Struthio camelus: one gene and its partners. The protein of the gene in region 1 interacts with the protein of each later gene in a pairwise test. Links are inferred from orthologs where the notes say so. Each region holds a gene or a part of one and is shown in the gene's direction. Other genes may lie near its edges.

Evidence for each region.
Region 2: the proteins of CCDC33 (region 1) and NDOR1 interact in a two-hybrid assay, tested with the Homo sapiens proteins (2 studies listed by BioGRID and IntAct). The two-hybrid records come from large-scale screens. The link is inferred for Struthio camelus from reciprocal best matches to the Homo sapiens genes CCDC33 and NDOR1.
Region 3: the proteins of CCDC33 (region 1) and ABLIM3 interact in a two-hybrid assay, tested with the Homo sapiens proteins (2 studies listed by BioGRID and IntAct). The two-hybrid records come from large-scale screens. The link is inferred for Struthio camelus from reciprocal best matches to the Homo sapiens genes CCDC33 and ABLIM3.
Region 4: the proteins of CCDC33 (region 1) and ARIH2 interact in a two-hybrid assay, tested with the Homo sapiens proteins (2 studies listed by BioGRID and IntAct). The two-hybrid records come from large-scale screens. The link is inferred for Struthio camelus from reciprocal best matches to the Homo sapiens genes CCDC33 and ARIH2.

The regions. Positions count from the first base shown.
Region 1 is NC_090953.1:23,678,160-23,685,031, reverse strand, and holds the start of CCDC33 (coiled-coil domain-containing protein 33), read left to right. Parts: upstream 1-3,855; 5' UTR 3,856-4,249; coding exon 4,250-4,580; intron 4,581-6,872.
Region 2 is NC_090961.1:12,913,804-12,921,328, reverse strand, and holds the start of NDOR1 (NADPH-dependent diflavin oxidoreductase 1), read left to right. Parts: upstream 1-4,522; 5' UTR 4,523-4,579; intron 4,580-5,730; exon of another isoform or gene 5,731-5,939; intron 5,940-6,379; coding exon 6,380-6,514; intron 6,515-7,004; coding exon 7,005-7,082; intron 7,083-7,525. Other genes in the region: TMEM203 (transmembrane protein 203), read right to left, coding at 3,810-4,220. UniProt on the Homo sapiens protein: NADPH-dependent reductase which is a central component of the cytosolic iron-sulfur (Fe-S) protein assembly (CIA) machinery.
Region 3 is NC_090954.1:7,751,940-7,759,168, reverse strand, and holds the start of ABLIM3 (actin-binding LIM protein 3), read left to right. Parts: upstream 1-4,227; 5' UTR 4,228-4,376; coding exon 4,377-4,395; intron 4,396-7,229. UniProt on the Homo sapiens protein: May act as scaffold protein. May stimulate ABRA activity and ABRA-dependent SRF transcriptional activity.
Region 4 is NC_090955.1:10,214,105-10,221,651, reverse strand, and holds the start of ARIH2 (E3 ubiquitin-protein ligase ARIH2), read left to right. Parts: upstream 1-4,532; 5' UTR 4,533-4,658; intron 4,659-6,827; exon of another isoform or gene 6,828-6,978; intron 6,979-7,547. Other genes in the region: SLC25A20 (mitochondrial carnitine/acylcarnitine carrier protein), read right to left, coding at 1,112-1,239, 3,297-3,389, 3,903-4,007.

The DNA.
Region 1 (6,872 bases):
TGTTCATGCCTGCTATTTTTAACGTGTTTTGTTCTCGTGCCGAGTTCTGCTTAGCTTAACTGCTTGTGAATTTTCTATTAAAACCCCTGCTAACTATCGTGCCGCAGCTGCGCTGCCAGCAGGAAAGTGCCTATGGTTTTTCAGGGGTGCGTGAACGCGAGCGACGGCTGCAAAGACCAAGAAAGCGGTGCGGGATTTACGTGGATTGTGAAAGAAAGCCGGGAAAACGGGGAAAAATGAGCAGAAACACGGAAACTGAGCTAGGTAAATATGGGGTACCGATCCAGCGTACCCATGAGCTAAGCCGCCCTCGGTGCTGGGGGGCTTTGTCTTGCTCACTGGCTAGAGCCAGCACAGCCTAATTGATAAACTAAGCTGGGTCAGCGTGTCTCCCAAATGCTCCTCAGAAACGATGCTTAATGCAAGCCAGTTGTGTCCCTGGGTGCCTTCCCTGGCAAGCTGAGCTAGCGTGGAGAAGAGGGGGCACGAGAGGCCTGGGGCCGTGGGCTTCTCCTCCGCTTGGTCCTCCCCGAGGCCGCTCGTCCCGGCCTCGTTGCTGCAGGTGCTGAGCTGCTTCCTGCGCAGCCTCTCGTGGGCCCCGTCAGGGAGCTCTGAGGTCTCCTTCCTCATCAAGAACGAGGCCTGAAGGTCTTCTCGTGTCTCGCTGGCTGCGTTGGTCCAGCCGGCTGGATTTTCTCTGGATTTTTGGCTTTTATTGAGCGGCTGGGGGCTCTCTAGAGAGCAACTGCGCCGCGTTTTCAACAGAGCGGGGGGAAAAAAGGAAGGTCTCGTGCTCGTTTCGGAAGCTGCAGCGGGGTAGATGCTAACGTACCTCCTCCAGGCTTGCGGGCGCGCTGAGGTTGGTCCGCGTTCCCCCAGCCTTCCCCTCTCCTGCCGCCGCAGCCCTTCCTCGTGGGCGCCCGTCCTCGTCCCACGTCAGGAGCCGCGTCCTGCCGCCCGCTGTAGCGGGGCCGCCCGGGTCTTGGCGAAACGTCCGTGTCCTGCTGCGGGGACGCGGAGAGCCGAAGCCTGAGCAGATGCTTCCTCGGAAGGAGTCCGCGTTCCCCAGCGAGAGCTTCCCTGCTCCTCCTGCTGCTCCATCCTGCAGTTTTCCCTGTGTGCAGATGTTGTGACAGGGGTTGGGGGGGGGGGAAATCGTGCTTTTCTTTTTTTTGTGCTAATATTTATACTCTCCCAACCTCCTCTTCCCTTCCTTCCGGAGATGTATTTAGGAAGCACCTCAGGAAGGGGTCAGGGAGCTGAGGTCTGGGGCAGCGATGAGCACGGACAAGCCAACCCCGTGTCCTCGAGGGTTTGGTGAGCAAGACTGGAAAATAGCGGCGGGGAGGGGGAAGATGATCTCTGCTCCGGAGATCAGCTCTGCTGCCCTCAGCGTGACCGCGGAGATGCCTTCTTGCTTGCAGACCTGTCACCTGGGCAGGGGTGATTTAGGGGAAAGTGAGGTTTATCCAAGCTATGCACCTTGCTGGGAGCTGCATCCCGCCGTCGGGGGAATCGCGTGACTTTGCATCTGCCCCCGCTTCCCCTCTGAGCATCTCTTCTCCCACGGTGCCGCTTTCATTGTCGCGGAGGCCCTGCGCACCCTCCTCGCTGGCCTGCCTCTCGCGGCCGAAGCGGCGCCTGTTTTAGCCAAGGGCGCTGTGAACGCATCAATCGGAAACGAGCACGTGCGCGAGGAGCTGGAGGGGGAAACCCATAAATTAATATTGCTAAGATGCAGAAAACCCAAGCAAACGAGCCAAAGCTGAGATGAAGGCTGTGCCAGGGTCAGAACAAATCCCCGCGCTCCGCAGCGGACCGCGGTTAAAGCCGCTGCTTGCTCTGTGCCTCGGTTTCCCCACCTGCAGAACGGGGCTTGTGCATAAACTCTCCAGCGTCTCCAGGAAGGGCTGCGATGTGTTTGCCTGGGCCTTAGCCCAGGGCCTCGCATTGGGCAGCTACCTGAATTTTTCCTTTCTGGATGGGAAGAAATGCATTTATTTTCATTTATTTTCAGTCTCTCTATTTTTTTCCTCTCTCTCCAAAACCACACGCACCTCCTATGCTCGTTCTCCCCGCCTTCTCCTGCTTGCTCCTCAGCAAGGAGACTAGCAAGCTCTTCAGCATGGTTGCCCTTTGCGCGATGTTTATCCCCGGGGCGGCCAGCACCCCGTGGCTGGGTGGCAATCCCGTAATCGGCACGCGTTGGTTGGGCGCCTCACCCTGCGCTCACCTCGCCGCCTGCCAGCCCCGTCCCAGCGTCTCCGTCTCCGCTGGAGTGAGACGGCCGGCGGGGAGACAAAGGAGAGGGCTTAGGACGAACAAGCCCCTCATTAAAGAGTTTGGAGCCAAAGACACATGTCGGAGGGGATTTGCAGCAAGGGTTTTGAAAAGCCCTGGGGGGCGAGGAAGGGGGTAGGTGCTAGGCGGGCGAAGCGGCTTTAACCCCTTGCGGTGGGAAGGACGGGCAGCGGGTTTGCTCCGAACGGTTTGAAACCCGCTGCGGTGTTGACCGGGTGTTAACCCCTTGGGAGATGGGAGCGGTTTAATAAAACCCGCTCCCTGGCTTTGGAGGGCACGCGAGCGGAGGTGAGGCGCGTGGCAAGCCCGACCTGTCCGAGTGGCTTGTGGCAAGTCAGCTGCAGTGATTTGAGCTCTGGGCTGGGCGGATGATGCCGCGCGGAGCCCGGTGGGCGCAGTGCGGGGCACGGGGAGCGTGGCGTGGGGGGCTTCGGCGCCTGCTGGCTCTTCCCCTGCGCGGTTGGGGTCGTGCCCAGAAGTGCCGCGGCTCTGTGCTGTGGCCGGAGGGTCGCTCAGGGCTCTCCTTGCTGCGTTTTGTAGCCTGTCGGAGGGCTGCTCACAAATTCTGGCCCGCTACCGTGCGGTTGGCACTGTAGGTTTGGTGATTTTCACGCTCAGCAGCAGTTTCCCCGCGCCCCAGGGACCTGCTCTGCCTCTTTGGTGGCCTGCAGACGAGAACCGTGGCTGCGGCCCAGCCGCTGGCCGGATGTCGGAGCGGGAAGAGCGAGCAGTGCCAGCGAACCGCGGGGTCTGCAGCCAGCCCGACGCCTGCGGGGTGAGGAGCAGCTCTTCGCTCGGCCCCGGCTTGGTGCGGGCAGGCACGTTTATCCTGTTGGGTTTAGGAGCCACCTTGGGAGGCTCAACCAGCTGCGGGAGACGTGAGCTTGGAGTCCTGCGCCTGCGCGGGTGCTGGCTGAGCCTCTGGCCGGCCTTGCTGGGAAGCCGTCCTCCCCCAGGTTATTGTCCCCGCTTTCGGCGCGGCGGGGGGAGGCTGACGGAAAATCCTTGCGCCTCCTCGACTTGCAAATGAAGGCAGCTTCGGTCAGGTTTTCATTAGCACCTCATCTGGCTGCGCTGCTGGCGGATGCCGGGGAGCATCCCCGCGTCCAGCCGGGGTGCTGGGGGCCGTCGGGGCCGGAGCTGCTGGCCAGGGCTGCGGCGGCAGAGCCCGGCGTCCCTCTGTGCTCCGGGGAGGTCTCGGGGGGAGCGGGCCGTAGCCCGGTGTGAGCACCTGTGCGGCAGAGGTGAGCCGGGTGGCACGGGCTCCTGGGGGTTTCTCACCCGGGGGTGTTTTGTGTCTGGTGCAAACGGGCTGGGAAAAATCCCCTCTTGCAATGAGGATTTGTAACAGCTCCAAGGCCCCTCTGGTTTGGGAATTTGTTTGTTCCCTTCCTCCCGCCCCAGCTGCCGTGTGAGTGAGGAGGGGCGAGCGGAGGGGCTGGCTCGCCCCAGCGTGGTGCTGACAGCAGCGTCCGGAAGAGCCCAGCCTGCTGCTCCTCGTCGCGGCTCCATCTGCCAGCGGAGGCGCCCGCCTTCGAGATGCGGCCGCCATAGGGCTGAGCTGAGGACGCCCGCGCTCGTGTCGCTTGTGGCCGGCGCCAGCCCGCTGGCTGCTAGCGGCGCCCCGGCGGCCGCTGAGCCTGTTGCGTTTGATGCCGTCGGTGCGCGCCGCCCTGGCAGGGGGCACGGTGCAGGCGTGGGTGCGGGGCTAAACCGGAGCAGCTGGGAGGAGAAACGTGCTGGCTCGCGCGGGCTGTGACTAACTCGGGCACGGTCCTGTCCCCCCCCGCTTCCATGGATGAAAAACAGCAGCTTGCAGCTCTGCTGTGTCTTATCACATCAGCTGGTGCGAATTAATGAGCGGGAGCTGGGGGGAGCCGTGCATCTCCTCCGTTTGCCCGGCGTTAGGCTGCGATCCCAATTCCTGCAGAGTCCTTAAATTGCAAAAATGCCCGGTGCAGCTAGAAGGGGGGGCAGAGGGGTCCGGGTGGACCGGCAGGAGCGGGAAGGGCCCGAATCGCCAGCAAATCCGCTCTCCGTGGGGCCTGGCCGGAGAAGCCCGGAGCAGCCGGCCGTGCCGCCGGCCCCGACGTCTCTTCCGCTCGCTCCCAGCAGGTCCCGGAGTCCCCCGCCGGGGAGCAGGAGGTGGCCCGCGTGCCGGAGGCTGGCCAGCGGCACGTGGCCCGCGAGGGGATGGAGGCCGTCACCGTCACCCTGCACGGCGCCAGCAACCTGCCGGCCACTCGGGAGGGCCGGGCGCCGCGGCCCTACGTCATCGTGTGAGTACCCGCTCGCGGAGGGACGGGAGATGGGAGCGTCTCGGGCTGGGATAGGACCTCGGTGCGGGCAGAGGAGCCGAGACCCCTCGCCAATGGGATGCGAGGTCTAAAACAGCACCGGGGAGCCCAGAGGACGGGACGCTTTGCATTACCGGAGCGCTGGGAAGAAAGAATTGGTAATATTGAAAGTATAAAGTGATGTCAAAGGATCCACAGGGTAACGCTGCCTGGGTCTGGAGATGATCTCATAATAAATAAAAGAGCGTTTTAATAAATAAAACAGGATGCTGGGGTAAGGAGAAGTTGGCTCCTCGTGCATTATGCATGTGCCAGGGGACTCAATTAGCCGGCCGTGCTTTGGTCTGTGCTAAGAGGGAGGACGCTCTTTGCTAGCGCTGGTGCCTAGGTGGGATCCCACAGCCCTGCCAGGGGGCAGAGCAAATTCGGCACCGCCTGGCGAGGAGGGGGCGCGTAGCTCTCGACGCCTGGCTCTGCGCAGCTGGTTTTGCCACCGCGTTGCCGAATGCGTCCCCCTCCCTCGGGCTGCTCGGAGCTGCGCAGCCAGGAGCCAGGCAGGCGCACGGGTGGCTGGCGAGAGGCAAGCGGGCCAGAGCCCCGGCCCATCGCCTGGGGAAGGACCAAGGTGATGTCAGCTGGCCTGATGCCTCCTCAAAACCCATCTGCAGCACTCTGCGAGCGTGCAAAGCAAACTGTTGCTTGCTGGGCATCTTCCATGCTAGAAACCCCAACCTGTGGGGCAGGCGGCTGGATGCCGGTTTTTAGTGCGGTTGCTCGCAGTTCAACGTGGCTGTCTGGATCGGGGAAAGCGGCAGATGCTGCTTGCCGAGCGACGGGCTTTCCTCAGCTGTTGCTGACTGGCATCTGCAGGCCGCCAGGAGCTGGCTGGCGCGTGGGATGGAGGGTTTGGCGGGCCCACGCGTCTGCCTTGGCTCTCGTGGGAGAGGGGATGCCGTCGCTTACGGGGACGAGGCGTGCGGTGGGCTCGCAGCTGCCAAACCACTGGTGGTCTCAGCCCATCGAGCAAAGGCTTGTCCCTTTGCGCCTTGGAGAGCGGGTCTAGCCTCCCCTTGCTGAGGTCCTCCTCTGCTCCAGCCTGGACCTGAGGGATCCCCAACGGGGACGCGCGCTGCTCCGGAGATGTGGGAATGACCAGGAGAGCTGCAGTGGGCTGGTGGGACACGTGCCTGGCTGGGAGTATCTATGCACCGCATGTCCATCCACTTGGATGGAAAACTCTGCTCCGCTGCCCATCTCCAGCATGGCCCTGCCAACGGCACCCGTTGCCCGCGGAGGCGGTAGCTGAGCTCATGCCCTTCCGATGCCCCTTCGCCGCTTTTCTGCCCGCCGAAGCACGAACCGAGGGCCTGCTCTCGCCCCCGACAGCCCACATAGCTCCACCACAGGAGTTGTCTCCATTTCCATAAAGCAATTATACCCGGCTAATCTCAGGAGATTTAAACATCAATATCCTAAACGATAGCACGAGGGTGGCGTGTGATTGTTGCGTCTTTCTCTGCATCCTGATGCCTCTCCATCAGCGGGTTGCCACGGGAACGGGAGATCGCGGGCGGGAGCGATGGAGAGGAGGGGACGGGGCCCTCCAGCCCCACTGGCATTAAGGATGCAGGACACATGATGGGCCTTTTAGTAACCATAGTGAGGGCGTCAAGGCAGAAGGGAATCGCTTATTATTTTGCGGGGCGCTGGCTTTTTAAGGAGAGTAGCATGTTGCAGTTCAAAGGTGGGCCTCTGAGCAGCGAACATGATGGCTCTGAAGGAGAAGAGAGTGGTGGATGTGCTGGTGGGGCCCTGGGGTTAACCTTTCCCAGTGAAGCAGCCCGGGACCATCCCAGCCACGGGCCAAGAGAGCTGAGCCAGCCCGAACGCAAGCTGGATGGGTAGTGCTAGCCTTCAAGAGTAGCTGTTGCTGATCTGCAGATGGGTCAAATGCTGATCCTCTGTGCTAGCTGTCTGTTGTCCCATGCTCCTTGCAGAAAGGTGCATCATGGCCTCTCGCCAGGCCTTTGGCTGCCTGCCCAAAGTTGCTGCTGACCTCGGTCTCCACCACATAGTTGGCAGGGGCCTCTCTTTTTGGTGGGACAGTCGTGCATGGGCATTTGTGCCCAAGGACATTGGAAATGTCACAAAATCCATTGTGGGAGGAGTGTAAAACCACTCCATTGTCCCCTATGGGAAACCTCCACAGGGTCTGCCGTGCAGCAGGGTGGAGGCATCTTTGCTGCAAGCAGAGCTAGAAACGCAGCTAGACCT
Region 2 (7,525 bases), on another chromosome or scaffold:
CGGAAGTCTGTACATGAGGAGAATAAACACGTAGGCTTTTGCTTGCCTACCTGGGTAATTCCTGCTCCAGCTTCACAGCCCTTCGCCCACATTATTTACACAGAGCTCTGCCCTGGGCCCTTTGATCGCTATCCAGAAAGTTTTCACTGGAGGGGATGTTCACAGAAAGGAGCAGCTTTTGTGGCTCACCTGCATCTCCCCAGCTGTGGGCAGGATCCCTGGGGTGTCATGTTGCTGGGGCAGAAGGGACACAAAGGCTCCAAGAAGTTTTGTTGTGGGACTTGGCTCTCCTTGGGCACAGAGGGAAAAGTGACTCCTTTGCACAAGGAGTGAGTCCTGGGAGAGGGGCAGGGCTGGGTCCATGCTGCAAGGCAAACCTTGCCACCCCTGGCCACGCACACAGCCCTCACATCCCTGTTGAGTACAGCACCCCACGTGCCACAGCTTGGGACTGTGCCTCCCTTGTGTCCCCCAGACACACCTGGGAGCTTGCCTTACCTTGGAAAAGCAGAGCTGGGAAATGTTGGCTCCTGGTTGTCCCCAAAGATAGCCACAAATTGCCGGAGGAGCTGCCGGAAAGCTCGGCAGCTGGCAGCCTGAAGCTGAATGCAGGTAGATGTTGCATTGGCCCCCTCTGTCCTGGTGAGCAGTGGCATCCAGCCAGCCCTGGGCACCACACCCCTGTGACATGGCTGTTTGTAAGGTTAGGTCTCTGTTCCTGCTCTGACAGTCCCTGGCAAGCCAAGCCATGGCTCAGCAGCAGGAAACTGCCCCTGTTCCTCTGCAAAGCATTGCACCAAGGCTGAAAGATGAGTGTTGGAATTTTTGAGGGGAGGAGGTTGCCCCATCTTTGATTTAATTAGCTGAGTGCCTGGAGAGCTTTGGGAGAGTCCAATAGTAGTCCCTAAAGCAGCTCTGCTACTGCCACATCCTGAGTCAGAGGCTCTACTGCTTCTCCTGCTCCCTGCTGTTCACCTCAACCTTCACCTATCATACGATCCCTCCTCTGGTGCTCTGATTTTTTGTGCCCTTCAGCAGACACTGGCAATCCCATCAGATCATCCCAGCCTTGCTCCCCTACAACCCCCTATTGCAGACAGGCCTTACCCCCCAGCTATCTCCCTCCCCAGGCTCACACGAGCAGCTCTGCAGCTGCTGGTGATGCAATATCTGCAGCTTGTACACTCAGAATGACTTGTCACATCATGGGCACAGCTGCAGCACAGGGACACCAACAGCAGGGATGAAGTCACAGTGGCCTGAGGTGGAAGAGGATAAGGAGTAGCCAGCTGCCCTCCTTCCAAATGATGTGTCCTTGGTTTGCTTTAGCTAGACCCAAGTGAGCAAGATGCTGGCTCCCAGCAGACAGAGCGGACAAGTGTATGGGGACATTATGGCAGCACCTGGATGGTGCTGAAGCCTGGAAAACCACATAACAAAGTGAAGCAGGAGCTGAGGAGCTTCTGCGAGGCCAGGTCCTACCTAACGCTTGGGTCCCAGCGCCACCTAAGGGTGCACCAGGACGGAGAAAAATGGGTGATCCTATGCTGTGCTTTCAGCCTCAGACCCTGATGCCAGGCCAGGATAGGCCATCTAGAGTCACTGGGCCAAAGCTGGAGCCAGATGTGACCCGAACGGAGGTGAAGCTTTGCTTAGATTCAGTATCCATCAGACTATCTCCAATGGCTGCAGCAGAAAAGTAAACGATATGCATTACTGGATTATGACGACAAATTATGTGGAATTATGCTCTTTGTTGCTATTTGCTTTCCTGTGCCACACCACCTCTTAGGCTGCATGCTTGGATCTGCTCACAAAGACTAAGAACAGGACTTTTTACTCCAGCTCCAAATCAAGAGCAGCCCCTTGGGAAGGTGTTATTTGTCACTTAACTTTTCCTCTAAGTTCTTTTCTGTGCAAAAATTCTCTTGCTCAACATGCTGTGAAAAGGAGACTGACCTGTAAGTCAGACCACAGATTTCCCCAAGCCTCAGCAAGCTTTGAAGCCTGCAGTTCATGCCATTTAACAACACAGCAACGTTTCTAGCACTCCTTGTGCAGGGGTCATGAGGCAGTTTGTAACACAGCTCTTTTCCCCAGGACTCTAGGATTTTTATTATTACTATTTTTTTTTTTATTTTTAGAAAAGCATCAGACCTCTCACCGTGGATAGCTTTTTCAAGAGAGAACCTGTTAAGGGAATATCCAGTGAGATCTGCTCTGAACTCACAGCCACAAGTTTATAAAATCAGTACACTGGAAAAATAAACTTGGAAAATTGGTCCTTTCTTACCCGCATGCTTCCAAAATGCTAAAAGCAAATACAAGTTACACAAGAGGCTAGGTAACTACAGATTTTCTAGATTTCAGGTATGAAGCCAGAGAAAATCTGCTTTATGCAATTTGAAAAGCACCTGACTTTGTTAGATTACAATATAGTCCCGCACTGTGGCAATTCTCAACTTTTTCTTAATGCATGCTCTGCTGGTTACATCCCACCTCATCTCCTGAACTTGAGTGGTGTATGCAGCAGTTCTCCATTTCAAGATCCTATCTCCATGAAATGTAAACCTGAGAGCAGCAGAGAACACATGATGATACCAGTAGCTAGGTAGATGGGGCAAAGACAGGGGTGGGTCACAGAGCACTGCTGAGGTTGGAAAGGAAGCCCATGACTGCTGGGAGGTGTTTTCCGATAGTCGTCATCATTATAGTACAGAGGTCTCTAAAATCCATTGTCAAAAGGAGAACAGTCCTCTGGACCTGGGCACCAAAGTAACGTTCAATGTCTCATAGATAGGTAAGAGACAGATCTATAGCCCTGAATATCCTCACGGTCGGAGCTAAATGATACTAAAGTGTCTTTTGCAATGGGGGTTCGTTGTGAACCTAACAATAACTTGCTGATCTCTATTTCCCCTAGAAAGACTAAACTACCCCCATTTACGGTGGGTCATTTCTAGATATTTGAGGACAGTGTTTCACACAAAAGCTGTGATTCAGTGAGAGCCCACCTTCAGAAGCAGCTCTTCATGCTCCTGCTCTTATACTTTGCCCTCCCAACACCTTTATATTTTGGGAATAGATCTGAAATACAAAGAAAAAAATATATACTTCTGTTCCAAAATAGACATCAGTGCCCTCTGGCTCACAGTACAACCGCACAGAAAATCTTGCTGGCAATGTGAAGGCATGAAGTATTGCTCAGGGAAATGAGAGGAAAAAACGGGAATACATTACACTAGGATTGTCGCTGAAGAAAACACGTTGTTAAAACCATGGCCTCAGACTGGTCAGGGCAAGCAAGATAACAGCTTCATTGTTTAAGGCTAGTAGCCATTTGAGTTTTACAAGGATATCTACAACAACTAACCTCCAAATAATTCTTATTCTCCAGGCAGCAGTTTCAACTACATATACTTTCCAGGGAAAAAGAGTTGTATAAATAAAACTACACTATCTGTACATTTTTATTTTAAATTAACTGGCATATCAAACAGTGCTTGCATATCAGGATATATTAACATTAACATCAAGAGCTGAGTGAACCTGAAATCAATGGCGCTGTATAAAAAAGATCTTTTGAAGAAATGCTGAGCTATACAACATAATAACGTAATCTGGTTGATTACAAACTCTCTTCTCATAACACCAGACCTGCATAACCTAACAACCAATATCACTCTGTACAAAAACAAAAAAAGGGCAAAAGCCCAACTTAGCAAACTTGGAGCTCAGGGCTCCCTGGTGGCTCAGGCAAAGCTCTATCCAGGGTAAGAGGCAGTCATTTGGGAGCCTTTCCCTCGGTATCAGTTCACCCGGCAGGCTCGGATCATGAGCAGCTGGAGGAGGATGAAGACGGGTGACATGATGAGCCCATACCAGAGCTCCCGGGTGTGCTCCACCAGCTTCTGACACAGGAGCATCTCAAAAACAAACTTCAGGCTCAGGATGGTGAGGATCCAGAAGAGGCGCAGCACGGCCAGGCGCTTCTCTCCGTCCTGGAAGAGCCGCACGGAGACAATGGTGGTGAAGTAAGTGCTGAGGCCGTCGGCGGCGAAGAAGGGGATGAACACAGTCCACCAGGAGAGCATCGAGCCTTCGCTGTCCACCTTCAGGACGAGAAGCACGGAGAAGACCAGGAGAGCCAGGAGGTGCAGGAAGATCTCGAAGGTGGCAAAGCCCAGCCATTGCACCAGCTCACGCAGGGAAAACAGCATCTTCCCGGGGGCCCGGCCTGGCCCACCGCCACCGCGGGCACACGGGCCCTGCCGGGGGGACAGCGTCAGCCCGTCATGCCGTCAGCACCCCGCAGCCCGGGCCCGGCCCTGCAACCCCGGCCCGGCCCGGCCTCCGACCCACCCCGCCGCCCCCGGCGCGGTCCCGGCCCAGCCCCGGCCCCTGACCCAGCCCCCGGCCTTAGGTCCCCGAGCCGGCCCTCCAGGCCCCGCCGCCGCCGCCGCGCACCCGCACCCGCGCCCGCGCCGCCCATCAGCCGCCGCCCCGCCGGCAGGTCGCGCCAGCCCCGGCGGCGGCTGATGACGTCGGCGGAAGCGGAGGCGGCGATGCCGGGCGCACGGTGGGTGCCGCGGCCCCGGGGCCGGGCCGGGCCGAGCCGAGCCGGGCCGGGCCGGGCCGGGCCGAGCCGAGCCGAGCCGAGCCGAGCCGGGCCGGGCGCCCCGCCCCGTCCCGTCCCGTCCCGTCCCGGAGCCGCCTGGCCGGGTGGTGCGGTGCTTTGGGAGTCGCTGCTGGGGCCCCGCCGGGCCTTCCCCGGTCCTCGCTGTCCCTCCCCGGCAACCACCGCCTCTCCGCTCGCAGGGATCGGCACCGGGGTGCCCCCCCCCGGGGCGCCCCTTCCCTCGGTGCCCCCCCCCGGGGCGCCCCCTCTTCCCTCGGTGCCCCCCTTCCTTCGGTGCCCCTTCCCCGGGGCGCCCCCTTCTTCCCTCAGTTCCCCCCCCCGGGGCGCCCCCCCTTCCCTCGGTGCCCCCCCTCCCTGGGGCGTCTCCCCCTTCCCTCAGTTCCCCCCCCCGGGGCGCCCCCCCTTCCCTCGGTGCCCCCCCTCCCTGGGGCGTCTCCCCCTTCCCTCGGTGCCCCCCTGAGGTTTTCCCTCCCCTAGGGTGTTCCCCCCTCCCACAGGTGCCCCTTCTCCAGCCCCCTTGGCCCTCAGGAGCCCCCAGGCTGGGTGAGCGGTGGCCGATGCTGCCCACCGAAGACCCCGGGGCTCCCCAGACCGGGGCGGTCACCCTGTGGCAGAGGTCCCCCATGCAGGGTGGCCTCCCTCCCCCCAGGGCTGGGAGCTGGCTCGGGCCCCTGCGGGCGCTGCTTGTTGGCGGTAGGGTCTGCCTCCCGCTGCGAAGGGCAGCGCCCCGAGGGACCCTGAAGCTGGGGTGATGGGGGACCTGCCTCTCCTCAGTGGGCGGTTGTGGCAGAGACGTGCACAGGGAAAAGCAGTTCTGTTCCTGGAGCTGAGCGAGCAGTGTGCATGTCCAGAAGGGCACATAGGATGTGCCAGCTCTTCTGGAAAAATCCATTCGGCTCTGGGCAAGGGGAAGGTCCCTTGGAGCTGCAGCCCCTCTGCAGGAATTGGTCCGTAGAAAGGCCAGTAGTGTCCCCTCCTTAGTTTTTATCAGCAGCTTTTCTGGAAGTGGTACACATTCCCCGTAGGGGTGCGGTAAATTTGCGGCTCTGGCATCCTGCTGGGTTGAATTTCCTCTGTGCTGTGATTTCCAGTAATACCTAGGCCCCTTGTTGCTGGGTGAGAGCAGCACAGGAGGCGTCTTCTCCTGCAGTTGAGAGCACCGTGTCTAGTCAAACTGAGCTCCCAGGCTCTGCTCCTGCCTGCCTCCCCTCCTCGGCTGTCAGGTCTCATGGCATTAGGGGAAACAGATGTGTTAAAATGGGAAACCTGAAGACTGATTCCAAGGATGTACTGACCGCAGGTGGGGAGGCCAGCTAAAATGAGCTAGAATGTGAAACACTGTCCTTGGATTTTATACCCCCAACTCATCCCCCTCCCTTTGCCCTGGCAGCAAGGACAAGGACTGTCCAAGTACTGTCACTCCTGCTCCTACAGACAAGGATGCTGGGTGAAGAGGGTGTCACCTACTCAGTGCTCTCTGAGGATGGAAAGAGAGCCCAGGAGGCTTGAATCCTGACCTTTTCATTGAACTATTAGACTATCTCCGTCCTTGCTGTTTGCCAAAGTATGCAGTGTCTTTCCCCCAAAGTACACTTGATTAAAAAGCTACCAGAACTCCTTTGAAGCCTGGGTAGGTTTCAGGGTGACTGCTAGCCCAGAGCAGAGAGAAGTCCAGCGTTACCTTCCCTTACCTTGCCTTAAGTCCCCTCTTGATGATTTCTTTGGTACTTTCTCTTTCAGATGGCAGAACGGACTCTCCTCGTTCTTTTTGGCAGCCAGACTGGGACAGCTCAGGACACAGCTGAGAGAATTGGCAGAGAAGCCAAACGACGCCACTTTCAGTGCAGAGTGGAGGCACTGGACAGCTATGATGTGGTGAGTGGTGATGCAGAGAGGTGCCCCAGGCAGTTCTAGTCTTGCTCCATCTCTACCAATCCCATTTCTAGGGCTCAGACATCTCCCACCCTTGCTATGACCTCCTATATTTCATAAGATCATGCCTCTCTGTCCTCCCTGAGGGCAGCTTGTGCTTAACTCAGCTGAAAATGTGAAAACTGAGCAGTGACTCTTGGGATACAATCACTGTTAGATGACAGATGCCCAGCCTTATCCAGTGTTTCATCAAGCGCACTTCCTACAAGGCAAGGAGCACCAACGATCTCTTGCTGCAGGCAGTGTGTGTGGGGAGCAGATGACTGTACAGTGTTGTCAGAGGAGGATGTGCCATGCGGGGGCTGTGGGTTTATGCCAAGCGTGGTCTGTCCATGAACTGAATCTAACATGATCAGCTGGGTCTGGCTAGCTAGGGGCATATGTTTGTAGGCTGCTGACCTGAGTGCACCTTTCTATGCTTGTCTGTGCACAGGCGAACCTCATCAATGAGCTGTTGGTGGTATTTGTGTGTGCAACCACGGGCCAGGGCGACCCACCTGACAACATGAAGGTAGGATGCATTCCAGTCTATGTTGCTTTTATGGATCTGGTCCTATGACTGGATTTACTCCTGAGCAGCTTCAGTTATGGATTTCTTGGAGTTGGAGGCTTTGAAACAACACCAGTCATCCTTGCAGGGTAATGTCAGGTGGATGCTGGCTCACTGAGTGGGGCTGAGAAGCATCTCCTGTTGCTGGTGGGATGTGAACAGCAAAGATGGTGAGATTTCAGCAGCTTAACAGCTAAGAGGAGCCCCTGCCTTAGCAAGAGCCTCAGATTTGTGGAGACCTCACAGGGCATCATCTTTCTGGCAGGTAGCACTAGCAGCTAGCTTCAGGGATTGCTTTTGTAGAATAAGGCACTCTAAGGTTACAGCCACTGGCTGAACAGACATACTCAGCAGAGGAAGCTGCCAGGCTGTGCTCCCTGCCCTGTCAGGACTCGGCAGGAGGG
Region 3 (7,229 bases), on another chromosome or scaffold:
GCCTTCAGATGAGCCTCTGCTGTCTTAGTACCAATGGTTCCTACTCAACGTTGGTTCCCATTTCATTTCGCTGTGCCACACTACCCACCTGTGCTCCCTGTTCCGGGAGTCTCTGCAATGGTGGAGGTTACCACATGCAAGCAGCAAAAAGAGGACAAAGCACGGTCCCAGTAAGGGGGACCCAGCAGGGCAAAACGTTGCCCAGTGCAGTGGTGTCTCTGCCTAGCCCCTGAGGGGTTGGTGAGATGGGCTCTGTCACCGAGTGAGTCCTTGTGCGCCTCACTTCATGTTCCTTACCTCCTGCTCTGCCAGCAACTGCTGGGAAGGTGGACAGGCTCTTCACGTGCAGCAGCATGGCAGGGAAGAGGCTGGTCTCCAAGCAGAGGTCTTTTTTCCTGGGTAGATTAACATGGAGAAGGTTTGTAAAAGGGTGAGAGAGGGTTAAGGAAGGCCGAAGTAGACTAGGGGTTCAAGGCATTGGTGGAGATGGGACAAAGAGGAAAGAGCAGAGATACAGGTGCAGATGTAGGTAGGGAGAGACTTATACAGAGCGTTCCAAGAGATGGAAAAACTACCTTCCTAGTATGTATCTTTCCAAAAATTAACCATGAATGTTGCCTAATGTCCTTGTTTCTCCAGAGAGGGCTGCGGCACTGAATTTTGCAGAACTGGGGTGCTGAGGGGAGCTCCAGGCCCTCCAGCCTCATCTTGTTCCCCTCCATAACACTAAACCCTGACTTCACTGCCACAAACAACCTTCTACAAATCATTCCCTCTGTTCTCCTGGAGCAGCCTAGGAAAGGGACAATCCTCTGTTGTGTTCACTTTGGTGCCAACCGAGAAAATACAGAGCTTAGGCAGCTCCTCTCTGTCCTCAGGCTGGTGGATGGACTCTCTCCTCTCACCAAGTTTCGTTCAGGCTTTCCTGCAAACCTTCTTTCTTGGCAGTTTGCCCCTCAAAGAGCAGCAGCCATGGAAAGTGGCCCTGCAGGCCAATGGAGTGCGTGCTGTAAAGTCAATCGAAGCAATTGAATTATTTCAAGGGCCTGCCATGCTCTTATAAAATAAATAGCAAGTTTCCTAATGACAGAGTGACGATCAGTTTAGCTAGATAATTGTATTTGTGATGCCAGCAGGCTGGACTAATGACAGACTGTCCTGCTATCAGCAAGGATAGTGGTGCTGCCTTTGCTCTCTGCAAAGGAGTGGAAGCAAACCCACCCTGTTGCTGCCAGACCCTGTAGTCCTGTCATGATAGTGCCGTAATGAAGTGGTTGGAACATCTAATTAGATATTTTTAGACTAAATATATCAGTACCTCTCCAGCTGTGAGCATTGCAGTGCTTCCGGAAAGCATTCTAGGGGTAGACTGGAGATTGTGAGGTCTCAGGAGGAGAGAGACAGGGAAAGAAGGGGGCTTCGCAGAGTGAAGGGGTACTAGAAATGATGTCGGTAGCCCTAGGAAAGGCAGAGCCTAAGTCCTGATGTTTCAGCTCCAGGAAGTCTGCTTGTGTGCAGCTCAAGGCAGGCCCATCTGGGTGATGGGAGCCTGCAGTGGAGAAGGCAGTTCTTGCTGGGGGACACATACTGTCCTGAGTCGTCTTCTGTCCAGCCTCTCTGGCTCTTATGTCCACAGGCTCACCCTAAATCACTGGGGAAGCAGAAGAGCTTGAGAGTGCTGTGAAGCACAGCCCTGATGGGCATGCCTTGGTTTCTAGAAAAGGGCTATTTGAAGCTTAACACTGCCAAACTGATCAGGTGTGGCAGCACGCTGAGGCACACAGTTCCCATATATTGGTGGCTCAGGTGTGGCTTTTGGTAGGCCATAGTTTATATATGCATTTTTCGGTTTTGGGTATGGTCCATTGAATGCTTTATCAATATCAGCCATAAGCCCTGGGCTGGGAATTGATTTGCTGCCTGGGGCTGAATTCTGAAAGAAAAAGGAGCCAATGCTGTGGTTTCTTTATGCAACCTGTCTGACCTTCCTTTCTTCTTAGTCTTTTTACCCTTGCAAAGTCCTTCTCTGAGCCCCAAGCATCACTTGTTTTTCTGTTGATGCATATTTTATTCCTTTTCTATTTTGAACCATTGCGTTAGAGACCTGGACAACTGGAAGGATCCTTGGGAGAAGAGCAGCCTCTAGAGAGCTGGGCTGTATGAGAGGGGAGCATATGCCTTGTGGGTTTGAAGCTGGTGGGGTCTGTGTCTCTTCTTGGCAAGCAGTGGCACTCTTTGGGAAGTTCAGTGCTGCTGTTGGGGCACAAAAGGCATATTTAATGTGATGCTAAACCCAGAGCCCTTCCTTAGCCCATCTGGAGCCTGTGGCAGATCTCCCTGAGCATACATTTCAGGGTTTGAGCTGTCATCACAGTAGTGGATTGTAGGAAGCTTTCTCAGATATGCACAGCTGGGCTGTAGTCTGCAGCTGGGCCCAGGTCAGGACTCAAAGTGCAAGTTCCCAAAGTGTACAGCCCCAGGACAGTACCCCTCAAAAACATGCTTGCAGCATCTCTCATTTGCAAAAGCACATTTCAAGGCCCTGCATGTCCTTCCCACCATCTGTGTTTTGCAGAGGTTGGCCCTGAAGATCTTGCCCCTTTCCTCTCGGCAACCATCCTCCTGCCACCTCTGTAGGCAGAGGTGTCTCTGGGAGGACTGCCCCGCCCAGACGCGCTTGCAAAAGGGGAGCTATTTTTAAAGTTGCTGAGGAGCTGGCGCTGGCGGGGTCGGTGGTGGTTTGTTCCCCTTGCTCGGCAGCACTTGCTGGGACATGTCAGGCATCGCGGCTGGAATCTCCTAGCACCGCAGCTGCTCCTGCACAGCCTGGTGGATTCCTGGTGGAGGCAGGGAGGACTCTGCCAGGAGGCCAGGCTGGGGTGCCAGAAGGCTGTTTCACCCCCCTCATCAAGGACTTTCCCCTACTGAAAGCTTTAAAAGAGGAGGGAGGAGGGAAGGAAGCTGTGTGAGAAACTCATTTCCGTTGTATGTCTGGAAGCTGCAGCTCATCCAAGCCTCTCAGGAGCGCTGGGCTGTGAGGAGGGCAACCGCCTTTGTGCTGGCGGCATCTTTGCGAATGACTAGACTTCATGGCCTTGCCCACCAGGCAGGGGTGGATCGAGACTGATTTGTCTGTTGTTGCTGCCCAGCCTGTCACATGCTGTGTTAAGTCGCTGAACGCTTCCGGGCAAAATAATCCTCCAGCCAGCTTGGCCACGACGGCCCCTAACTAGGGGTAGGTTTGGGGTTGTTCTTTCCCCAGAAGTTGCTGCTCCTTCCTTTGTCTTGGCTCTGGGCCATTAAGGAGCTAGCAGGTTGATGAATCTTGAGGAGCTGAGGACATCGGAAGAGTGGACAGCTTGGAAACAGCAGAGATCTGGGATGGGAGGCAGAGCAAAGGTGTCTCGTGGAAAGAGGCAAAGGCTGGCTGGGGATAGGGACAGATGGAGGGCTGTGATGTTGCTCAGGTGCTCAATGCTGCATGGCAAGTCCCTCGCAGCCAGAAGGGAGCCAGTCTTCCATCAGGCAGCCGTTGTAGATCTTAAGTTGCCCCATCTCAGTTCCAGCTGAGACAAAAACGATGCAGGAGAAAAGGTCTTGGTGGTCCGGGGGCTCTGGGACATAGCTGGGAACATTGTGAGAGATTTTTGTCACCAGACTGATTTGTCTGCCAGTGGCTGCAAAGTCTGCGTTATCCAAGGACTTGGGGATGCTTGTGTACAAATAGGCTCACAGACAAGTCTCTGGCCCCCAGCAGGTCCCCATGGCTCATGCTTGCCCTGCTGGTTGCAGTTTAACAATCCGGTACTGAGTACAGCCAGGGCATGGAAAAACTCTCCTTGCTTGGCACAACGAAATGGGGGCTGGGACAGGCAAGGCCCTCTTCTCAGAGGGCCTCCAGCTCACGCACAGAGACTCTAGCGGATGTCTAGTGGGGTAAGAGCAGACCCCACTTGCTCTTACCGCTTACCTCAAATGCAGCCTGTGCCGCACAGCCACCTACTCTGTGCCACGGGCACTGGGGCCGGGCAGCGTGTGGAGATGTGTTGCATGACTCAGTGCCAGCTTCTCCTGCTCTCTGAGAAGCCTGCTCTGCTCCGGATTTTCCCTCTCTCTGCTGGTATCGCAGCAGTCCTCTGAGTGTGATAGAGTGCAGGCTTCCCGGGGATCTCGTCTGCACTCGCACAGCCTCTCTCGTCTCTGCACAGATCACAGCAAAGCGCTGGTCCCTGCAAACTCCTCCCTCTCTTCCTCAGACAGTTCTGCCCTGCGCGGTCCTGCTCCGTGGGGCTGGGGGGGCAGGAGGTGACCCTCCTCATGTCACCGCTCTCCTGTCTGCCTCGGTGCCGTCTGCATCACCTCCGCGTCCTCAGAGGATGAAGAAGGTGGAGCAAGGTAAGATGAGTTCCTTTTAATGGCTTATGTGCTATAAATAGCCACATCACTCTCAGACGATACTTGGGTGATGTGACGGAGCCCAGGCACTGGGCAACGCACCGCCTTCCTTGCAGACACACCCAACACTTGGTCATTTGAGCTGATGGAAAAGGGCTCCTGCAGGTCCTGTCTGTGACACAGAGCGTGTCATCGCATTAGCACGCTGTGGGACACCTCTCAGGTTATGCACAGCGTAATCCCATCTGGCAACAGCCGAGGCTGGTGTCCTGCAGCTAGGTTGGCGCGCGTGAACGCAGCTCGCTGGCAGAGGCAGCCAGGCACTTGCAACAGGGAGCCTCTACCCTGCAATGAAGGTTGGGCAGTCTGCCTTCAGCTTGCACCAGGCTGTGCCTGGGCAAAGGTGGTGTGTCGGGGTCTGGGCCATGGAGGCACGGAGGTTTCTTTGGTACGCGCATCAGGTCTCCTTTTTGGGAAGGATGGGGAAGGTGGCTCTTCTGCAGGGAATAAGCAGCTCAGGGAGAGAGAAGTGGTTTCCCTGGTGCTAGTGAAGTGCCTCCATGGTCCCTGAATGCTCCTTCACTCCCTCCTCCTAGGCTAGGCTGTAGGATAGAGTAGGTCAAAAACCCTTGGTCCTCCCTGTTTATCCAGGCTATCTTCAGAGCAATTCAGATCTTGGGGCTGTCTGGTGCCTTCAGGGAGGAGTTTTACTCGCGACAACAACAACATATTTCCTACCTCCTGAATATCTCATACCTCTTGACCACTGGTACTGGAACCAAGCACTACAGGCAGCTTCCTAGCTTACGTGTACATGAGGATAAGCAGAAAAACACAGCCATCTCCTTAGAAAGGAAGCCTCCCCTCGTCTAGCTGCAGACAGCAAGTGCTAAGGCACAAAGCTAGGTGATCCCCAGCTCACAGCCCTCTACTCAGTGAACAAAATGATCTTCTCGTATAGCCTCCTGCAGGGAACGTGTGCTGCTGCCGAAGGCTTCTGCTGCAGCCATCCACTCAGAGGGGTGCGGCTTGGTCCTGATCCTCCCCCGCGGTGAGAGAGGAGTCCTGGATGAGCAAAGGTACCAGTATTTCACTGGAGGCAGCGTAGGGCCCTTCCCAAGCTGGCCAGGCAGCACTTGTGTGGGGAACGAGGAAGTCCTTCCCTCCCCTGCTTTTTAAAAAATAAAAGTCACTGCCTCCACGGTGAGTGATGTGGTGATGACGGCTCGTGATGGGTTACATGTAAAATCCTTTGCATCCCTGAAGATGCTACCAGTTGAAAGCTTTTATGGCATTTTAAAAATAGCCACAGAGGGGGAGAATGAGAAGATGGATGGGGAGGTGGATCCCTAATAAGGAGAGAAGAGGAAACACAGCCAGAGAGGGAATGGAAAGACTTCAGTGAACGGCATGTGAGTGATTACTGGGGGCAGGGAGTGGTGTGGTCATACTGTGCTGCCGCACTGCATGCCCAGCGGGAACTGGAAACCCTATAAAAAGCCTGGATGTGAGATACGCTCCTCGCACGTGCCTGTGAGGGATGGGGTCAGCATCAGCTCAGCTCTCTCTCCTGCACACACTCACTCCATTCTACAAGTAGCCATTAAAAGTAATCCCTGACTTTAGATAGCTGGCCTGGGCTCACTTCTGCCGCTTTTGTGTGATTCCCTGAACATCTCCAGGCTGATCTGTGTTTCTTCTCCTGCCTCGAGGCATCAGCCTGGCCAGGAAGCTGACAGATAAAGCTGTCTCTGGCCCTCCCAAAACATGGCCCTTCACACCTGGGCTGAGCTGAAGTGATTTGATGAGAAAGAGGTGTGCTAAGGGCTAGGTCTCTGTTCTGTCTTCTGGGTTTCTATGATCTGACAGCTCGTGGCACCCAAAGGCAAGGTTTGGTTGATCTGGGGCCCTGGTGGAGTTGTGGTGGCTCCTGCAAAGGCCCAGTTTCCCAGCACTTGGCTGTCACAGTGGTCCCAGGGGCCTTGGCAGAAGGTCCCCTTCTGCAGGAGGGGCTCGGCTTTGCCTTGCATCCATCATGTCACCGGTCCCGGGAAGTGGTTCCAGAGCTGCTGTGCAGCCTGGGCCCATCCCTGTGCTTGTGGCAGTCCTCCCCCATCACTCAGGGAAGATTATATAGAGTGTCTCCAAGAAATGCTAATTGCTTTGGCTTACATAGCAGAGCCACTGGGCATTCAGAGCTCTTAGTCAGCTCAGAGATCTGCCAGAACCTTCCTCTCCTTCCCCCAGAAAACTAGCAGAGGTCTGAAACATGCCATTGCTGATTGCCACCTGCACGGGCCCCAGCTGAGCTGTGGGCCTACACATGGGATTAGCCTAGGCTCCGAGGCACTGGCAGTCTGAAATGCCCCTGACGCAGGGCATGGTGTGGTCTCGTTGGAGCCTGTGGCATTGCGGCCTTGGGTGCGAAACACCACGAGCTCAACCCCCAGCAGGCAGAGCGTGGGGTCAAATGCATCTCTGCTGTTGGAGCAAGGGTGGTTGGAGAAATGACAGGAGTTCCCCTTCCTGGGGGAAAAAGCCTGAGCATGATGGATCTTGTGCTACAGCAGAAGCCTTCAGCGTTGTTCTGCCTTGTGTCCTCCTCAGACCCCTCTGCCACTGCCACCCTCCCCTGTTCTGCTTGTGCCACTGGCAATTAAAACTCTTTGAAGCCAGGCTGGCGGAGCTGCGTTTGGTGCTGGCTGTTGGGAAGCATTCCTTGGCTTTCCCTCTGGTCGTAGCACAGTGAAAACGCTGCAAACAAGACTCCTCTGTCAAACTCGCCAGCCTGTCACATCCAGGCCGTCACCCCCTTCTCTCCCTTGCTTGCTTTT
Region 4 (7,547 bases), on another chromosome or scaffold:
AGGATGCTGGCAATGAGCCCACGGACCATTTGCTTCCTTGTATTCTCCAGTCCTCACCGGTTCCCTCCGGTCTTACCCTTCAGCCTCGTCCACATGAGGAAGTCAGTTACAGTGGTAAAAGAAGTGAGCAAACAGTGCCGGAGTGCCTCAGCACTCCCTCCCTCTGCGCGACCCAAGCAGAGGCAGCTTGCTCTGTGTCGCGGGAGCGGCTGGCTAGTGCTGCACAGCTGGGTGTACTCTGTATCACTGAGGCACCTCCCTGTGCAGGCAAAGCTCCAACAGAAACAGTGTCTCCCCACCCCTCCACGCTTGGCTTAACACAATGGGCTCCTGCTTTCTGACAGGACTCCTAGGCATTGTATGAATAATAGAATAAAATGTTGCTAAGCTACAGTTCTGTTCCTTTAGAGCTGTAATTCTCAATTCAGCAAAGAAAGGGAGTACTTTCGGGGGCAGGGGGGGGCTCTCCTTATGCATAAGCTAACCTGAAGAGAGACACAAAGTTTGACTAGCTTCTCAGAGAAGATTTAGCCATCCTTTGGGTTGAAAGGGACTAAGAAAAGCTTCATTCCACAGGACCTTTTCCAGAAGGTTACACGTGCCACAGAGCAGGGCTGCTCATAAACACCGCTTTTCTGAAATTAATCGTGAAGTACTTCTATGGCTATTGCTATATCCTAATATTATGGGCACAGTAAGAGTCACAGCTAGTAGGGAAAGGAGAATCACGATTCGTGACTGAATTTTATCAAGACTGCTCGACCATGAATTTAATTCTTCCATAGTTTCTGTTAATAGTGAGACTGTTCTCAGGCAGTCATTATATAATTCACGCTGCATTCATCTGAAATGGAATTGTTCTTTAATGGCTTCTTCTTGCGTAGAAAGGGAATTGCATAGCACTTGCCCACATGCTGTCTGTTTTTAGCCTGTGCTATCAGTCCCACGCTTCCAGAAGCATTAAAACACACCCATGTTTTATTTTTTAGAGCTATATTTATAACCTAGGAGAAGAGACAAATTTACACCACAACTCAATGTGCGACAACATAGCAGGCTGCCAGAGTCTTAGGGTGCCTTTCCCAAACGTCTGAATAACTCAGAAACTCACGTCAAAATATCATCAGGTTTTCGCTGTTGGAGTCTTTTTCCCAAGCCAAATCCAAAGAAGCAGACAGCAAACATGGGTGTCACTCCAACAATAGGAGCTGCCATTCCTTTATACAAGCCTCGGACTCCCTGCAAAAAATGTCATCACAAGAATTATTTGGTTTTACATAACGCTCTGCACATGTTTCGACTTACTGAGAAACAAAAAGGTTAAAACACAGGATAATATCAGAGTTAGAGTCAGCCAGTCCAATTAATTAGAGGAATAATGGGATCTATTGTTCACTTGCGATAATGCACATTTAACTGAGGCTCAGGACCTGTTGCAAAGGAAGGCCATCCTTCCTGGAAAACACTGGCACCATTTTCAGCCTTCTCTTCCAATACTGTTCATGTGGTCTCCTGTACTTACATCCCAAATACAAGGAAGTTAAAAGCCACCTGAACAATAGTCTTGTTATATTATGTCCAAAGTTTTCTCTCTCAAATACATTAAAAAAAAATCCACACATGCTTTACGAAGAAGTCATCAAACGCAACATAACAGTAAAATTCTGATATTAAGCCTGACAGTGCTGGATCAAATTCATTCTTTAGGTAAAGATAAAGCCAGGGAGACCAACTTGAACTCCTTCACTCCCCAGATGAGCTCAGCTTGGAACGAGTTCAAGAGCAGATTATTTTTGCTTTCCCTCCCTAAGCTAAAACCTTTTCACGATACAACTTTACATCCCCGATGTTTCCCTTTAGATTAAAAAAATACATCATCAGACTGCATATTTGGAACAAACTCTGATACAGACCCCAGCAGTAGCATTTATTTCATTTATCTTGCCTTTCAACTGAGGATACCAACTCCTTTCTAATTAAAAGGAGAGTTATGAATTATCTTTCTACATAGAGGCTAGATGCAGAAATTAAATATTTTCTGCCCCTCCTCCCCCTCTAAAATCAGTGTATCCCAATATATGCTTGTATGCTTCCTGGCACAACTGACTGTGTAATGAAATCCTATCTGGTTGACAAAGATCAGACACGCCTGCTCAATCTTCCCACAAGCAGTAGGAAGTAAAAGGTCTTAGCAGAGAGGCTTAACAGTTTTTCCTTATAGAAACAGATGAGTATTGAGTAGGAGCAGAGAGGCAGCATTACTTTTGAACTTCACATCAGAAGAGTGTTATTACAGTTCAGCTCTGACGTCCATGCTTCAGAAGAGGTGTTGAAATATTGCAAGGGATTCAGAAGAGAGCTACTAAAGCTTTTCAGTGCTTTGTGGGAGAGACAAGGGAAGCAAGATTTACTTTGGTTAGGTAGCAACCTATGAGTCCTATCACAAAAAGATTTCTGATCTGAGATAGCTCTTTCATTCAGAAAAGAGTGACCCAACTATATCCAATGGTTAGGAGCTAAACTTTAGATTAGCAAATAAACAGTTGGGCATTAAACCCATTTTTTCCAAATGTTAAATAGCCACTGGAAAAACTTACCAAGCAGCAAAGTGGATTCTATGTCACTTAAAGTCTTTAAACCAAGGCTGCATGCCTTTCTAAAAAAAAAATAGACTATAGTTCAATCACATGACATGGGCTGATTCAGGAGTCACAGAGTGGAAGCCAACGTCCACCTTATGAAGAAGATCAAACAAAGTTACTATAATGGTCCCTCTGACCTTTTTAAAAAAAAAGACAAAAACACACTAGGAATTCAAACTGACACTTACTCATCCACCTTCTCACAGATGGTATAATAACGTATTACAGAAGAAATGTAAAGTACTGCTTTTATTAACAAAAGTCATTGCCTATTTTAGGACTTCCAGAAAGAGCTCCAAATACCAAAGACAACGAGATTCCACCACCTACGACAACAAAGCCAGCAAACGACTGCCAATGCTAACCCCGGTCTTTAGCTTCGGATATTAATATCACAGTATTTTGAGCCACCAGTGTTTCTAAACAAAGCAAAAAGACGCTCATTTAGAAGAAATGGATAGTACATACTCCCCAAATAGATCTCCCTTCAAGTTTTGTAATCTGCTGAAAAATTTCAATTAGACTCACTTCAGCTGATAACCCAAGAATTTTATAATCTCAGGGGGTGGCATTCCCACCCCATGCCATTGCTGTGACGTACACGGACAACTGACGTTTTTGGCAGGCACTGCAAACGACAGGCTCGCACAGTACCTCTCTAACCAGAGTCTTTCGGAAGCAGTCAAAGGTCCCAGAATAGAGCAGAGGCTGACCGGGCTGGGGTTTGGGCTGGGTCTGCAGCCTAACCTGGCAAGAAGAGATAAGAAAACACTATTTTACGAAATATTACTGTCTAAGCTTTGATTCAGAGAACGTGTCTATGTGACTAGGAAGCAGTCATTTTTGTGACCAGACTTCACGTTATTGGCAAAGAGATCAGCAATGTTTTCGACATCTGCAGAAGAGAAGAGACTTGTGTTTTCACGTATTTAACGATTTCCGATTGCTTTGATGATGTCAGCAGCGTTACTTTTCCGATTTACCCTTATTAACGTATTATTGTTATTACCGAGCCCAGCGCCGGGAGGGCGGCAGGGCCGCCGCGCCCGCAGGGGGCGTCCCGCCCGTCTCACCAGCCCCCCCCCCCGCGCGGGGCACGCCGGGAAGTGTAGTCTCCCCTCAGAGACCGCGGCAGTGCACGCCGGGAAGGGTAGTTCTCCCCCTCCCGTGGGCGCAGGGCACGCCGGGAAGTGTAGTCCCTCGCTGACCGCCCCCGCCCCGCCCGGCAGCGCGCGGCGGGCCGCCGGGCCGCCCCCTCACCTTGATGGTGTCCAGCGGGTGCCCTACGAACACCAGGCAGACGCCCCCGAAGCCGCCGGCGAAGAAGTTCTTCACGGGGCTGATGGGCTGCACCTGCTTCGCCATGGCGGCGGCGGCGGCGAGCGGAGCCGGGGCTGAGACCGGGACAGGGAGCGGGGCGCTGCGTCCCCGCCGAGCAAACACCACCCCCTTCCCCCCGCGACCTTTACCCCAGTGCCCGGCCCCGCGGCATGCCGGGGCGGGCGCGGAGCAGGTCGGGATAGTGGCGGCTGTAAGCGGCTTCCCTCGAGCCGTGACGCCGGCGGAGGTCCGGGCCGCGCTGCCCGCCGCCCCGAGGGCGGTCTCGCGCCGCCGGCTCGCCGTTCCGGAGGGGAAGGGCTGGGGCGGTGGGCTCGGCCTCGCCACCTTCGGCTGCCGCAGCAGGCAGCCCCCGCGGGGAACCTCCCCCCCCCACCGCCTCGCTGGTTCAGTCCTCCCCCCCGCTGCCGCCGTCCCGGTGGTTCGGTCCGTCCCGCCTTGTCTCTCCGCTTGCCCCCCCCGCCCCAGTCCAATGGTCCGTCCCGCCCCCCCCCGCCGCACGCCAATAGTGCGGTCCGAGGGCGGTGGCGCGGCGGCGGCGGCGGCGGCCCCGCCCGGCGGAAGTGACGCCGCGCGGAGGCCAGGGTCTTCCGGCGTGCAGGCAGCGGCGGCCGGGCGGGAGGAGCCCGGGGCGCCTCTCCCTGCCTCCGCCGCCCCGGCCGCGCTCCGCGGCGCCCGGTAAGTGCGGGGGGGGCCGCGGCGGGGCTCCTAGCGGGGCGGCGGCAACCGGGAGCGCCCCGGGTGCGCCGCCGCCGGCCGGGCCCGCGCCCCCGCGGCGGGAGGCGGCCGGAGCCCCGGTGCGGGGCAGCCCCCGAGGCCGGAGCGGGCCCGGCGGCGCCCTGCGGCTTGAGGGGCCGCTTGGGCTCCGGTGGGCGCCCCCCCCCCCCACGCGCACCGCGCCGCGCGGGGCTCCCGCTGGGGCAGGCGGCCGGCGGGACGCCGCAGTGCGTGTGCTCCGTGAGGCCGGGGCGAGGGGCCGGGGCGAGCTGGCCCCGTGCTGGGGCTCCCGGTCCCCGTCCCCCCCCGCCCGGCTCTCTTCTCTCCCTCGGCTTCTCCTCCGTTTCCCTCCTGTTGTGTTCTCAATGTGCGGGGCAAGTGCGTGATTTAGCCTTGCACGGGTTGCATTCGAGGTGATTTAAGTGAACGTGGTGTCTTCCCCCTCCGACGTAGGGAGGGCACTCCGAGCACAGAGTTACCGTCGAAGGAAGGCTTGAGTTGGTACGGCTAAAATGATGTGCTGAAAAACGATGGGAGATTAGAAGGGACAGGAGTGAAACGGCTCAGATTGGTTGGGAAGGGCAAGGTAGTCGTGGTAGTGAGAATACGGACTGAAAAGGGGAAGGAGAGCAGGCAAATTCACAATGGATGTGTGATATGGCAGCAAGGAGGTCTCTGCAGAGTCATCTGTGATTAAAAGGGTGGGAGGTGATGTTCCTGGTTCTCTCTCTTGAAATGAAAAAACATCTGAAAACTCAGTGGAGAAGGAAATGGCAAAATATGCTGTGTGTGTGTGAAGAAGCTACTGAAGATGATCCCTTCATCTTGGATTACGGGCTCAAGTGACATAGACAAAGATGTGATTAACAATGATAGTAAATTTGGAGCTGGGGTTGTAAAGGACTTCAGAGGAAAGAGTGTGTTTGTCCATTTACAGGTTATGTGGATAAGTGACTTGGGAGGCAGACTTGAGTTACATTCTCAGTTTCAAAATTATCAGCAGAGAGGTGAGGAGGGACCAAGCCATCTCACATGGCTGTGGAATTATCAACTGAAAAAGCAGAAGCGGGGGGAGAGGAGTGTTCTCCAAAACACTTATTCAGGAAGCCCCAGAGAGGCAGATACAGAGGATAAGAAATCAGAAAAGGATGGCATAGTGAGATGAGATACAATGTGGGGTTGTCTAATTTCCTCTATCTAACATAGAAGAGGGAAACTGATGATCTCATATTTGAAGGCCTTTTTTTTCAAGGGGCCTTGTTAAGAATTAGATTGTAAAGCAGGAATCAGCAAGAGGGCGTTTCTGATGGAGCTGGAAGGGGGCAGAGAGGAGGGTGGACATGTTTACAAGCTCCTGCAAGGAGGCTGGAGGAAGAAGGGGGATTAAATTATGTTAGTTTTAGTGAAGATGAGGGAGTGTCTTGGATGCAGGTGGTAAAGTAGGACCTCATTCTTCCCTAAGCAGGAAAGCGATCTAAATATGGTTTAAAATTTTTAAGTCAAATCTTTGGGATTATGATAATTATTTAAGTAATCTTTATTCTTTTGACCTTCTTTTTTTAATCTTCTTTATTGTCTTAGAAATTAGTATTAGCTGTGTCCTTTGTTAGTGTGTACTCAGATCGTGATTTGGTGATGAGGGCCTTAGGCTGAGAATTAGGTGAGGTAAAGTCTGTTTCGTTTCTTTTTTTTTTTTTTTTTCATATCTTGCTTTGTTTTGCCAGCAAGTTTGTGCCTTCATCTTCCCCTCTTATTCACACATGTCCATCTGACATTAAGTTATGGTGGAAATGGACTCTTTTCCAAAGTGTCACTGCAGGAGTCACAAAAGACATGCAGTCTGCAGACTATTTTCTCCTTGGTATATCTGATTTGCCCATGCAAACAGTTCCTCTATTTGTTCATGTAAATAAGTTAGTTGCCCAGAGAAATGGCTGAAAAATACTTCTAAGAGCCCTGCAGTCTTGTGCCTCTCTTCTCCAATGACTGGCGTGTGACTACTTAGGTACTGTGTAAGCCCCTTATTCTACTCATATTATCTGGAAACATCTCATTGCTTTGATGGGACTCGCTATATGTTGAGGTAGTAAATGGATCATCCATTAACCATTTTTTTTCCTATCCCCATAGTGTGGGATGATCCGATTGAGTTTGAGAACTTTCCTAACTGGTGATACCTGTTTGGGCTTTATGATGCCCTGAGATTGGCCAAACAAAACTATTGCACGCTAGGCTATTCATATCTTCTGTGGGAATGTTCAGACTGCTTCTAGATTCTCAAGTGAGTTATTCCTTTAACATAAAATATAACAGGTAAAGTCCCATTACTACTTTTGTGCAAGAAGTCAATGTTGATACAGATTAAGCCCAGGCTGAATCATTAAGGAGACTAGAGGGAGGGAGCATATAGGGACAGTATAGGTTTGCCTTGTGTCTATCAAATCAGAGCCCACCAATGATCCTGAAACGCAGAACAGAGATCTTCGTTTGCAGAACCCTGAGTGGAAACAAAGCCAGAAAAGTACATTAACCTTTTCGTTCAGAACCACCATCTTTTCCAAATGTGTATTTGTAGGAGCACGTTTACCATCCCCCCCCCCCCCCCCCCCCCCGGTTCTCTATTTGAGTGTTTCCATTTGTGGAAACCTCAGAATTTTTTCTGTCTGTGAATGGGTTTGTGTGATGGAGGGAGACTCTCATTTAGCAGCAGTTGTATGAGTGATTCCTCAGCAGTATAAGCAGGTTACTCGGACCTGATGGCTTGTTAATCTGAAGGAAAAAACAACTTCCCTCGGCAGTTTGATGGAGTCATCTATGTTACTAGCATTGCTACTGTAACTCATTTTCTGT